Nothobranchius furzeri: one gene and its partners. The protein of the gene in region 2 purifies or fractionates together with the protein of the main gene of each other region. This does not show direct contact. Links are inferred from orthologs where the notes say so. Each region holds a gene or a part of one and is shown on either strand. Other genes may lie near its edges.

Region 1 (4,052 bases), on a different chromosome or scaffold from region 2:
GAATAATGAGATGTTTCAACAAATTAGTGTTTTTCAACCTAAATAAGACAAAGAACCGAGAGATGTTAGTCTCGTCGAACAGAGCTCTGGTGGTTGTCCATCCCTAACTAGTGTATCTGCCGAACTGCCTTATGGGAGTTGAGAGTGTCCCTGTGGAGGGATGTTCCACAGAGCTGAAATCGAACCGGGTCACAAACAGATCCGGTACCGGAGGCTGTAAAGGGAATCTACTCACTTGTTTTTCAGCTCCGAGGACGCGTCCATGTCCTTGAACTCTCCAGCGATGTGAACGATCCCGTAGCAGGTCATCACAAACGATAATAATGTCTGCAGAACGATCTGTGGTGGGAGCAAGACGACGGTGAAGACAAATAAAAAGCAGGGCTCTCTCTGAAGACCAGAGATGGGTTACTCACGTCGATAGGCAGCGTTTCGTGCTCCTTCTCTGTGAGCCGCATGTATGACCGATCTGATGGGAGAGTTGGGATTTAATCAGAGTAATATCGACAATAACTCACAGAATACTCTTAATCCAAACATTAAACGACGGCAGTCACACAGAAGCGAGCAGGTACAGATTAAAGTCTTCCTCCGTTGGAGGCTCTAGCGGAGCTAGCTAAGCTGCTGTGGCCACAGGCCCCGCGGTCCTTCACTCGGTGGAGACTCAGTCCAACCAGAACTAACCAACACAGGAAAACATCGGTCTAACATCTTGGCGCTGAAACTCACGCTGTGCTGCCGAGAACGCTGCGTGGGCCAAGGCAAAGAGTCCGATGCCGACAACACCTTTCCAAAACGAAGAAGCCATCTCGAAGCAGGGCTCAGAGGGACTGTGGGCACCGTCGTAAAACAGTCGTAAACTGACGCAACTGTCACTGCGTCAAAACCAAAACCTACCTGCCAAATGATTATTTATGTTCGTTAAATATTATTATTCGCAGCCTGATATCTGTAAAATCATTTTATTTATGTGTTTTTGCCCTCTATTTAGATTTTTGTGAGCTGAAAATACCCAAAGAAAGCTGTCAGACGTCAAATGGTGCATTCGAATCACATCCTAAATTACATGTTTCTAACCAAACTCATTGATCTCCAACCAATATATTTGATCGAAAATTGAAGATTAGATGTATAACTAGAAAGAGCTTTTCATGGTTTAGTGAGCGTTTGCGTCAAAATAAGTCCAGATACACATAATTTTATTCTGACCTCGATTTAAAACCAGAATATCCGAGTGTGCCCTGAATCTTCCACTACATCCGGTCTCTGCGTAGCTTCTTCCTGTTAGCTAGCGCTGTTCTCTCATGTTGCCTTGCTAAGCGCTCTGTTACAATAATTAAACTTTTACAGTTGTGTAAGATAAAATAAGCAAACATGGCAGACGCCATTCAGAAGAAATTAAAAGCGGAAGTAGAAAAGTATGCACAAATGCAGAAAGGTGGGTTTTCTTTATGTGCTATCACAAGTTTTAGAGGGCATGTAGCCGCTATGTGTGCATGAAGTAACGTTAGCTTTTTGGCCATAAGAATAGTTTTTTAACCCACCTGCGTGTTTTTTCAGATGTTAGCAAGAACATGTCAGCCAGACAGAAACTGGAGACGCAGCTGACAGAGAACAACATTGTTAAAGAGGTAACTTCAGTCCTGTATGGCTGTATATCACAACGGTTTGTGTGTAATAATCCAGACATGACTCGCCTGTGTTTCCAGGAGCTGGATCTGCTCGACAGCTCAAACACCATCTATAAACTTATCGGTCCTGTTTTAGTGAAACAAGATCTGGATGAGGCCAAAGCCACCGTGGCTAAAAGACTGGAGTACATCAACGGGGAAGTGTAAGTCAAGCTGCTGCTTTACTGTTCTACAGCTCACCTGCACACCAATGTCTGTGTCACAGTGGTGAAAGATGGTTAGATTTGATCTTGTTTTTACAATTTCAGGTGGACGAAGCCGGTTAAACCCTGATTTTACTCAGACTCAGGCAGGAATCTTAATGGAAACAAACATAAAATGTAATTCTGAGCAATGCCAGACGCAGAGATGAGATCATCAAATTAATGCGAATATTAAAAAAACAGTTGGCCCTTATCATTTATTGCCATTGACAGCTAAAGACGTCATTTTAAATCCAGTGGCTCGCTGCAATTGACAACTAAAGCTGTCAGTTGCATTGTTTTAACGGGGTGGGCGTGGGATCGAGCCCCCGCACCATGAGAGTAAACATGACGTCTCTAAAGCTGATCTTAGTCCGTGTGTCACACGTCACCTGATCAGGAAGGAGAAAATCCATGAATTGGGATATTGTTTTGGGACGCTGCTGTGAAAAAAGCGAGGCGCTAACCAGAAAAGCGTCTGCAGCTCACACTTGGACAACAGATTGTGAAAGAATGGTTAACGCTAGAAACACGGTGATTCTTCCTGATGTAAAAAGTGAGTCTACTCTTTCTTTCGATAGTTTTGGCGTTTGCATGATCATAGAGCACAACGTTCTGACTCTTCAAAATCAGTAAAAACGCTCAAAAACGCTGGCAGCCAGGGGATTTCTGATCAGAAAACAGCGCAGTGAGTGAGTTAAACAGGATCCACCATAGTTCCTTATTTTCTTGTGGGTTGAAGCTGCTGACAGTCGCTTTTAAAACCATTTATTTAACCAGGAAGTCTCATTTTTAGTTGAACATGAAGGGACTTTCTTAAATTAGCGTGTTTGACATAACCGAATCCTTCACTAAGCGATTCCGGGTTCTAGCATGGCGGTGGTTAGGATGATACGTTTCACCTCTTGAGTGTGCACTGACGGAAGCATATTTTTTGCGTGTCACTTTTCCACTCAAAACGCAGCACTGAAGAGATGAAGTTGGAGAGGAACGGAAAACTTCATCCACAAAGACCAGCAGTTTGTTTTACTGGAGAATTAGACTGGAAAACCGGCATTCCCAGTTAGAACCAGAGAGGAATGTTTCAGTAAATCTGAGTAAATACCTGCTGCTGGAATTAAATGAATCAAATACAAAATCAGAAAATACAAAAAAAAACAATCGAATCCAGAATTATAATAGTTTTACTAATTTTGCTTGTTATTCTCATCATTACATATTTCCAGAGATTGTGAGTTAATTAAAATTAAAAAACACAAATTCCATATTTCTGACTGTGAGGATTATGTATTTTGATACTCGACACCCAATGTGTCACATATTAAAATATGCTGACTAATCCCAGCTGTCAGCCGAACGAAGGATTAATTGTATTGGACACAGAGACAATCGCATATTTAAACCTGGAAACAAACAAACAAAAAAATTTGAAAAATACAAAAGCAATGAGACAAATGAAAAACCTGCTAAACTTTGGAGAAGCCATGGCGCTCACACCGCCTTCACACTGGCTCAGCAGGAGCAGGAACACCTCCCGTTCAGGTTCAGTTATCCTGGTTATTCCTCCTCTCCTCCTAATCCTCAACCTCCATCTTTGAGAGTGGAGCTTGAAAAATCAGAAAAATGTGACGGCTGGATCGAATCAACAACAAAAATAATTTTCCTACAAGGCATTCTGTTTCGGACACACAATCATTTATGTTGAAACGTACCTTAAAGGGATACGATGTAAAGTTTTCATATTTTTAATCATTTTCTTGAGTAAGTATGTGCTAGAATGACCCTTAAAGGAGTCATCACCCGTTACTACCGTGGATATCTACATCACATTATATTATTTAGGCCATGAAAGTCATTTGTATTGGAAAATTAATTAAAAAAGTGCTTTTCTGACCCTTTTTTGTAAAGGACAGGTTTTCTCACAAGAGCACACGCGATATTTCGGCTGTGCTGGGCGTGTCATTTGGAACCGTAGGGTGTCCATGAAAGATCCCGCCTTTCTCGCCTCTGATTGGCTAGAAGGACTCAACTACGATTGGCTATTTTATTTAGCAGCAAACTGGCTTCCCGGCCAGTGAAAATTCATTAGGAAGACATTATATGGATTTTTTTCAAGTGGAAAGGTGAAAACTTCAGGTGATGACTCCTTCAGCAGGGTTACAGAAATGTAACTCAGACC
Region 2 (3,977 bases):
GGAACTTAAAGAAACAGAATAAAACATTTTCCCATCGTAAAGAAAACTCCCTTAAAATATGGACAGTAACAAACCTGCTAAATTCCTTCCAGAATCTTTGTGTAAAAGAACAGCACCAAAAAAGATGTGTCACAGTTTCTGGATGATCCCCACAGAAAGTACAATTAGTATTTATGTCCCTTAGTTTTGAGTTTTAACCACAGTGACACAAGTGAACGTGAACTTTCTGTTGTGCAAATGTCGTCCTCCTGTGGCTGTTTGGTGGCACTACATCTGGTTAGCAATGGCTTCACAAATTTTTCCATTAGTTGCTAAAAAATGAAGAAAACGGAACATCTGTGATATGAAAGGAATCAAAATAAAAAACATGACTCAGTAAAAGTATAGATATGCAGCTCATGTTTGAAAGGTTTTGTGTTTTATGACTCAAGTTGATTAAATTTGGTTGTTTTAAAATATCACAAATCAATTTGTATATTTAAATATATACATATTAAACATAGATAAGCAGGTTTTCTTAAGGATTGAAAAAAAATTGTGTTCTAATGAAAAAGACCCAGTTCATCTACCTGGTGTGAAAATGATGACATTGACGGTGTATCTTTCTTTTTTTTAGATCACAGATGCTCGAACAAAAATTATGATTTTATTCAATTACTTCGATAGAAGGAATTTTCATTTAAATAAAATGTAGCAATTAACACATATTAATTATGACCAATAAGATGTGATATTCCATACAAATATGAAATATCAATCTGATTGATCTTTGAATGTTTAATCAGAAGATTCTAGGGTCCTTTGCTTATTCAGGGACCAAAAACACACCTCGTATAAATTCAGAGTCAGTGTATAGTTTATAAAATGAATTTTATTATTGCATTCATTATTAGGGGAATATTTCATATAAACTCCCATAAACAGAATATGTTGCCACCAAGTCAAATTACCGATTACAAATAACTGTATATTAAAAGTTTATTTAGACAAAAAAAAGTTAAAAACAACTGCATTTGTTGTTATTTTTGTGAATTTGGTTGACTTTTATTTTTATTTAATAACTTAAACATTTACTGCTACATCAAAATGCATTACTTATTTTTGAAACAAAAATGTGTATCCTTTAAAAATAAAACGTCTGTAAAAGGATGAAAGAGATGGCCATAGAGGTACATTTCTTTCCGGTTGCGTCATGGACAAATTTACATTTGTCCACATGGGGGCGGTAATGAGACCGTATTCCATCGTATTAGGCGGAAGCAGAACTGCGTCAGTGCAGGTTGGTCATCACGCTTTCAACATGGCGGTGAATCTTTCAGACCTCTCCATGCCTCAGTTAGAAGGATTAAAAACCCAACTGGATCAGGTATTATCATCAGTAACATGCTGTATTGGAAGTATTTGTATTTATGTAGCTAAATGCACGAGGTATTGTTAAATAGGAGACCGATGCGGGCTAAACACCCCCGTTAGCGTTCTGTGCCGTAGACAACCGGTGGTGTTGCTAACGGTGTTTCTGTCCCGGGTTGAATCTTTTTGTACATTTTGATGTTTCTTTCAGGAGGTTGAGTTCTTGACGTCTTCGATAAGTCAGTTGAAAGTTGTCCAGGCCAAGTATGTTGACGCGAAAGACAGCTTGAATGTACTGAACCAAAACAATAAAGGTGCGTTTTTAAATCACAATCTGACACAAACTGTTGGCTCCCGAAATGTTTATCCATACCTCTCACAAGAACTACTACTATAAAAGAATGACATTTAAAACAATCGGTACGATTATGATTTTTCATTGTGGTCTGGTGATATGTAGAGTTTAAAAAGTAATTCAATTCAGTTTAATAATACTTTATTAATCCCAGAGGGAAATTAGAGTTTCAGTACACACAATTCTGAGATCAGACATACATACATACATACATGACAAGAATTGGTCGCACAAGAGGGTTTATATGAGGAGATATGCACACAGACTTCAGACATTACACAACATAAGTGTCCACTAGGTGGGGAGGTAGGGTTGGGACTTTCCTCAGGTGCGTGCAGCCGCATGGGGGACAGAGGAGGGACATTAATGGGTTGGAGAGCACAGTGACTCCTAGAAATGGTTCCTTCACTGTGCCTTCACCTGTCAGTCCCGCCCAGGCTGGGAGAGGGAGAAAGAGTTGCCTATTTATTTGGATTGTGACCCATTTCTTTTCTCACAAACAGGAAAGGAATTGCTGGTGCCTCTTACAAGCTCTGTATCCTTTTTAAATTATCCAACATTCATTTTATTTAACCACTGGCATAAAATACATATATGAAACATCCAGGTGAAAGGAGCTGTAAGGTTTTGTCCATCGTTGTGTTATTTACTATCTTCCATCTACTTTCGGTTTCTTTTTTCTAACTTGAAACAGTTCTTCAGCAACACGTTGTTTAACATCTTTACACATTAAAATCATACATTTATTCACACAACTTAGCATCTTAGTGAAGGTGGATTCTTTTAGCATGTTTGTCCTTTACAGTTTTCTCTTCAGATGTATGTCCCTGGAACATTAAGTGATGTGGAACATGTCCTAGTTGACGTGGGGACAGGATATTATGTTGAAAAGGTAATATATATTTAGATATATATTATAAATAAATAAAACAGATTTTAATTAAGAAGAAGCTATTTAAACATGCGTGTTTGCTTCTTTAGAACGTGGAGGACTCAAAAGCTTTCTTTAAGCGCAAAATAGACTTTCTCACAAAGCAGATGGAGAAAATTCAGCCGGCTCTTCAGGAAAAGCATGCTGTGAAACAAGGTAAGGTTAATTGTGTGAATTTGACATTTAAAATCTTTTTTTTTCAGCATTTATAGATGTTCTGCAATCTGTTAGCTCTTTGATTATGTATTGGGAATTAATTGCTGTCAACTACTAACATTTTAATTGATCTCAATAGCTGTAAACCGACTGAGTTATATAGTCAGTTTTGTGTTTGCTATTGTTTATTAGCTGTGGTGTCAGTTGAATCAGAATGTTAAACAGTTTGAGACACATGTACGTTGATTATGTTTTATGAATTCTGTGAAGATCTGATTGTTTAAGAATTTGCGAACAGATGTGAAAACACATGTTTGATAAAAGATAAAAGGGTCAGTGTGTAGTTTTTAATCGTTAATCTCTGGAAATATCCTTCAAAATTAAGCTATTTATAAAACCAGATAACGTATATAATTTCAGATACAAACGTAACTTTAGGCATACATATTTTAGAACAACATTAAAGTCATTTTGTATTTCTGTTACGGGTGTAAGAGTTTGGAATAAGCTAAGTGGGGATCTAAAGCAAAGTCCCTCATTGCATACGTTTAAAGATAAGTATAAAACAATTATACTAACTAATCACATGGAGGAGGAGGAAAAGTTGTAAGGGTGCTGCATTTGATTGTAATTGTCTATGAACTGGGAGCTGTGAATATGGGGGGGGGGGGGGGGGGGAAACATAAAAAATGTAAATTTTGCTTGTGTGATTGAGGATAAAACATGTTATAAGAAAATGGCTATGACAGTGTAGGGAAGAGAATTTTTTTGTTTTTATCTTCCTTGAAATTTGATTTTGGGAGGGGGGGGGGGGGTGATTATACAAGCTACCAGAGCTTTTTTCCCTTCCTATTGAACATGTTTCTATATATATATATATATATATATATGCATATACATATGTATGGGTTCCTTTTTGAATACTTTAATTTGTCTATTGATTTACATGTTCAATAAAGAAAGAAATGAAAAAATGTTGACAATGACAAAGTAAATGATACCCAGTAGTTGATTAATATTGGTGGCTTCTCAACATATAACCATATAAATCTGGGGCCGGGCCTAAGTCTCTGGGCGACACCATATTAGATGCCATGTTTCCTTCTACGGGAGCCCTTAAGGACAAAATGCAATTACTGATTTGTAATAAACGATTACAAAATTTTCACCATTCATAAACATTGT
Region 3 (4,290 bases), on a different chromosome or scaffold from region 2:
TATATAGGAAACGTTTATCTGATTGGCTTAATGAACTGACCTGTATTGGAATGTTTACCATGTGAAGTGCCTTGAGACGACTCTTGTCGTGATTTGGCGCTATATAAATAAACTTGAAACTTGGAAAAAAAAAATCAAACTAAACTTGAGTCAAGTAGTTTACTCCTTTCCCACCTCTGCACACACGTATCAAGATATCCAGTCAACCTAAATTATTAACATTACATCTTAAAGTTTTCCATTTAATAGGTACAAAATCTTCCATGATATCTCCTTTATTTTCTTTTACCTTCATTGTTAATGTGCAGATTGTTTCTCCTATCAGACCAGATGCTCTCTTCCTCCCTACCAGTCTGGTTCTGAGCTACTTAGCCTCACACAGCAGGCCTGTGTCTGCTGCCGATCAGAGAAAATTTTTAATGATTCAAGTTTTTATTTTTGATTATGAATAAGGGTTCTTTTACATATTTTCCTTCCTGCTGTTTCCGGATGTGTGAACTACTCCTTCACTATCTGATGAATCCTGGTATTATCATTTTGGAATATGCTCGTTCCATCAGGGAAGTTCGAATAACCTGGTCATTCAGTATATTTAGGTAGTCATCTGACCTCATTCTTGGAGCACATCCTGTTGCTGAACCTAGACCTGACCAACTGCAGCAACCCCAGATCATAGCACTGCCCCCACAGGCTTGTACAGTAGGCACTAGGCATGATGGGTGCATTATTTCATCCGCCTCTCTTCTTACCCTGATGAACCCATCACTAGAACAGGGTCCATCTGGACTCATCAGACCACATGACCTTCCACTAGTCCAATCTTCATGCTCCCTAGCAAAGTAAAGCCTTTTTTACCAGTTAGCCTCACTGATTAGTGATTTTCTTATGGGTACACAGCTGTTGCAGTCCCTTGAGTTCCCTTCACGTTGTTGGTATGGGAATGCTCTTACTTTCACTGTAAACATAGCCCTGAGTTCTACTGTTGTTTTGAACCAGTTACTTGAGACCTCTACCTTTTTAGTTCAGCTCATTTACCAGCAATGCCATCAGTCCTGCAGAAGAAACACAATTAATCTGCCTATCTCTTTTATCAAGTGTGAACAAGGCACTAACTCTGGCTTTCTACTCAGTGCGTGAGGGCAACATACAGTTAATAGCCACCATCATAGTCTCTTTTTGTCTCCACTTTGTCTCCACTGGGCACACACCGGTACATTTCAGATGCGTCCCAGAAGTGTAGTGTCATGCCAAGTCTACATTTATGTACTATGCTTCCAGTATGCATCAAGATCAGTAGTTCAAACCTGGCAAGACAGGGAATCAAACACAGAGTATAGTGTGGCTAATTGTGTAAAGCATCTGGCAAATTTCAAAATAAGATCCAAGCGGATTTCCTTTTGCATAACTGTAAAAAACATAACCTCCTTGGTGGAGGTAAAAAAAAAAAGGACAGAAAATGTTGTAGTCTCAGTGGGTCCCCAGTAGAGGCAGCAGAGCTTCCCCTTTACCACTCCGACTTCTTGTACGCATGCGCGTGCGTCAGGACGAAAGAAGCCTCTCCAACATGACGGCGACCATAGACAACAGCAATGCTTCACAGGCGAACAAAAAAAAGCACCTCGGTATCCCCGAAGCAGTGTTTGTGGTGCGTATAACCAGACGCTTCTGACGGTGTTACATGTTTGTAACGGATGTAATGTATATTTGGTGTGACCGGTTTGTCAGCGGCGCAATTCTGACTCAGCTAGGAGGCTAAGTTAGCAGGTGAGCTAACAGAGTGTCCTGCTGTGTGTGCATGTTGGGCGGCTGCTCGCTTCCATCTATGGACATCACTGTCTGCCTGTAATATTCAGCTCACCTGGTGTTTCTGAGGTCCTTCAGCTGGACTTACCTGCCAGAGTCAACTGTGTCTTTAGTTAGCTAGCTAGCTAACTAGCTTGTCCATTACTCAGAACAGTACTAGCATCTTGTCTGACGTGCCCTGTCATAGAGAGCATTAACGAGCACAGCTCAGCGATTTTTTTAAATATTACATTGAAAGATTTCCACTTTAATCTGCTAATGATATTAACTTTGCTAATGTTTTGAGATGGTATTAAAAATGTGAGATTTTTGTATAATCTGGCCAATTTATCTTGATTCGATTCTCATTTAAATTAAAACAGAAAAATAAAGATAGAAAGTAGGCCTGGGACGATAACAGAATTTGTTGGACGATATATTGTCCAACAAATTATTGACGATAAATGATATTATTGTTGACATTATCAAGACCAAAATAACCACTTATGTAATGTTAATATATCATAATAATGCAAGGACACCCATTAAAATGCAACAATTAAACCTTTATTTAACATGGGAATGTCCAGACCCTGAACTTCTAAATAAATAAAACAAACAAAAAATAAATAAATATAAAAGTGCTTTCACTCTTTTAGAAAATATTGCACCAAAAACAATAACGTAGACCCCGTCTCCAAAACAACAAATACAATGGCCTATCCAGTGTCAAGAACCAAACTGCACTTCAATAATAATTGTACATTTCTTAACCTCAATATATTGAGGCTTGATTATTGAGTTCATTTTCAGCCCTAATATGAAGGGAAAATAACACGCATTGGAGTGAACAATAATGTCACAATTAGATCAAAAGTTCAGAATACCATTATGTTTAATGTGTAAATGAATGAAAAATACCAATGACAGACTAAAAGGGTTAAAAATCAAATTATAGATACTTGTAATGCTACCAGATTTGTAGGTGATGTTCTTTGGTTACGATGAGTGGATAAACGGCATCATATTAACAATTTGGGTAATTTATTAATTACTTCAGTGATTTTTCTTCATGGCAGGAGGAAGGTTTACACCTGGACACATTCTCAGATTACAGCACCTTACATGAGTATAGAAATTCTCATTTTCTTTTGTCTTTGTCTTTAACACAACAAATGCATTAATGTAATGAGATAAATAGATTTTTTCTTTTATTATCTGTGCATCAAACCATTTTATAGAATACAGTAACTTTTTTTTTTACCAGTGCCCAGGCGATTTACTTCTGATGCTGTCAAATCAAATTTAAACTGTTCAATCAAAACTTTCTGTGAAAAGTACTTAACTGTTAAATCACACATTTTTTCTCATTTTTAACAGAAAAGCTAAAAGATCATATTTATTTTAAACAAAAGATTATATTATATTTGTATTTATAAAAATGTTTGTAATTTTTTTGGTTTGTTACATTTATTTGTTTAATCTGACACTAATTTAGGGTTTTAATTCTCACTAACCTGTTTTATGGTTTCATTTATTGTGACTTTGAACTTATAGGTATAACAAACGGAAAAGTATTTTAGGAAATGGTAAGACCTTATTTGTGCTTCCATGTTAAAAACACAAAGGCCAATTCAGAAAAGTGTAATTTCATATTTTGTCCACCAGACGGCGCTGCAAACACATCTCACTGAGACTTTAGACATTTGACTTTGTGGTATTGAAAGTCTCATTTGTGGAGTAGTTATATAGGCCTTTCTGTTTTTTAATCCCTGTTTGCTGTTTTCCAGGAGGATGTCGACTCTTTTATGAAGCTGCCTGGCAACGAGACGGCAGACTCTGCTCTGAGGAAGCTGGATGAGCAGTACCAGAAATATAAGTACATGGAGCTCAACCTGTCCCAGAAGAAACTCCGGTAAAACAGAAATACAAACACTACGAGTTATTCGGGTTACATTAATACGTGCATGAATTGATATGTGTGCACCTGGTAGATCTGTAAAGTAGGAAAGCTGGATGCTTATTTATTTAACTAAAATCATTCTTATTTAATAGGTTGAAAAACCAGATTCCACAGATCACACAGACGCTAGAAATCCTACGACACATGCAGAAGAAAAAGGTGGGTGAAGTTCTGTAAACCAGCTCCATACTGGAAGTGAGTCTTCTCCAGTTCCTCTAGAATGACAACATAGGGATGGGTGAAATAAGCTACCGTAAATCCTCTAATACAGGCCCGGGTCTGTATTTGACTCAAGCTCATCAAGCTCCAGGCCTTTATTGGAAGGAGGACCAGAATTAGAGGCAGGCCTCAATTTCTATTTGAGCAAAATGAACTAATGGTTCGCTGGAGTTTTTGACAATTAGAATTGCGCCCACATTTTCAAAGTTAAACACATTTCTTTTAACAACGGTAGTTTCTGCTTCAGCCCTCTCCCCCTGCGCAGCGGTGCAAACTCACTGATGCGCCTGCAGCCTCTCGGAGTTCCTGCTGCTCTAAACATTAAA

The links. Proteins that work in one complex are often made in the same cells at the same time.
Region 1: the proteins of pfdn5 (region 2) and pfdn6 purify together in Homo sapiens (affinity purification with mass spectrometry; 5 studies listed by BioGRID and IntAct, with this or other methods). This does not show direct contact. The link is inferred for Nothobranchius furzeri from reciprocal best matches to the Homo sapiens genes PFDN5 and PFDN6.
Region 3: the proteins of pfdn5 (region 2) and vbp1 purify together in Homo sapiens (affinity purification with mass spectrometry; 7 studies listed by BioGRID and IntAct, counting the BioPlex papers as one, with this or other methods). This does not show direct contact. The link is inferred for Nothobranchius furzeri from reciprocal best matches to the Homo sapiens genes PFDN5 and VBP1.

What each region holds. Positions count from the first base shown.
Region 1 is NC_091741.1:28,885,127-28,889,178, reverse strand, and holds the start of pfdn6 (prefoldin subunit 6), read left to right. Parts: upstream 1-1,252; 5' UTR 1,253-1,374; coding exon 1,375-1,438; intron 1,439-1,560; coding exon 1,561-1,631; intron 1,632-1,709; coding exon 1,710-1,834; intron 1,835-4,052. Other genes in the region: mmgt1 (ER membrane protein complex subunit 5), read right to left, coding at 236-339, 417-469, 730-808. UniProt on the Homo sapiens protein: Binds specifically to cytosolic chaperonin (c-CPN) and transfers target proteins to it. Binds to nascent polypeptide chain and promotes folding in an environment in which there are many competing pathways for nonnative proteins.
Region 2 is NC_091743.1:50,185,884-50,189,860, reverse strand, and holds the start of pfdn5 (prefoldin subunit 5), read left to right. Parts: upstream 1-1,177; 5' UTR 1,178-1,192; coding exon 1,193-1,366; intron 1,367-1,561; coding exon 1,562-1,664; intron 1,665-2,208; coding exon 2,209-2,240; intron 2,241-2,522; coding exon 2,523-2,597; intron 2,598-2,686; coding exon 2,687-2,792; intron 2,793-3,977. UniProt on the Homo sapiens protein: Binds specifically to cytosolic chaperonin (c-CPN) and transfers target proteins to it. Binds to nascent polypeptide chain and promotes folding in an environment in which there are many competing pathways for nonnative proteins.
Region 3 is NC_091742.1:80,080,558-80,084,847, reverse strand, and holds the start of vbp1 (prefoldin subunit 3), read left to right. Parts: upstream 1-1,490; 5' UTR 1,491-1,528; coding exon 1,529-1,645; exon of another isoform or gene 1,646-1,764; intron 1,765-3,572; coding exon 3,573-3,697; intron 3,698-3,837; coding exon 3,838-3,904; intron 3,905-4,290. UniProt on the Homo sapiens protein: Binds specifically to cytosolic chaperonin (c-CPN) and transfers target proteins to it. Binds to nascent polypeptide chain and promotes folding in an environment in which there are many competing pathways for nonnative proteins.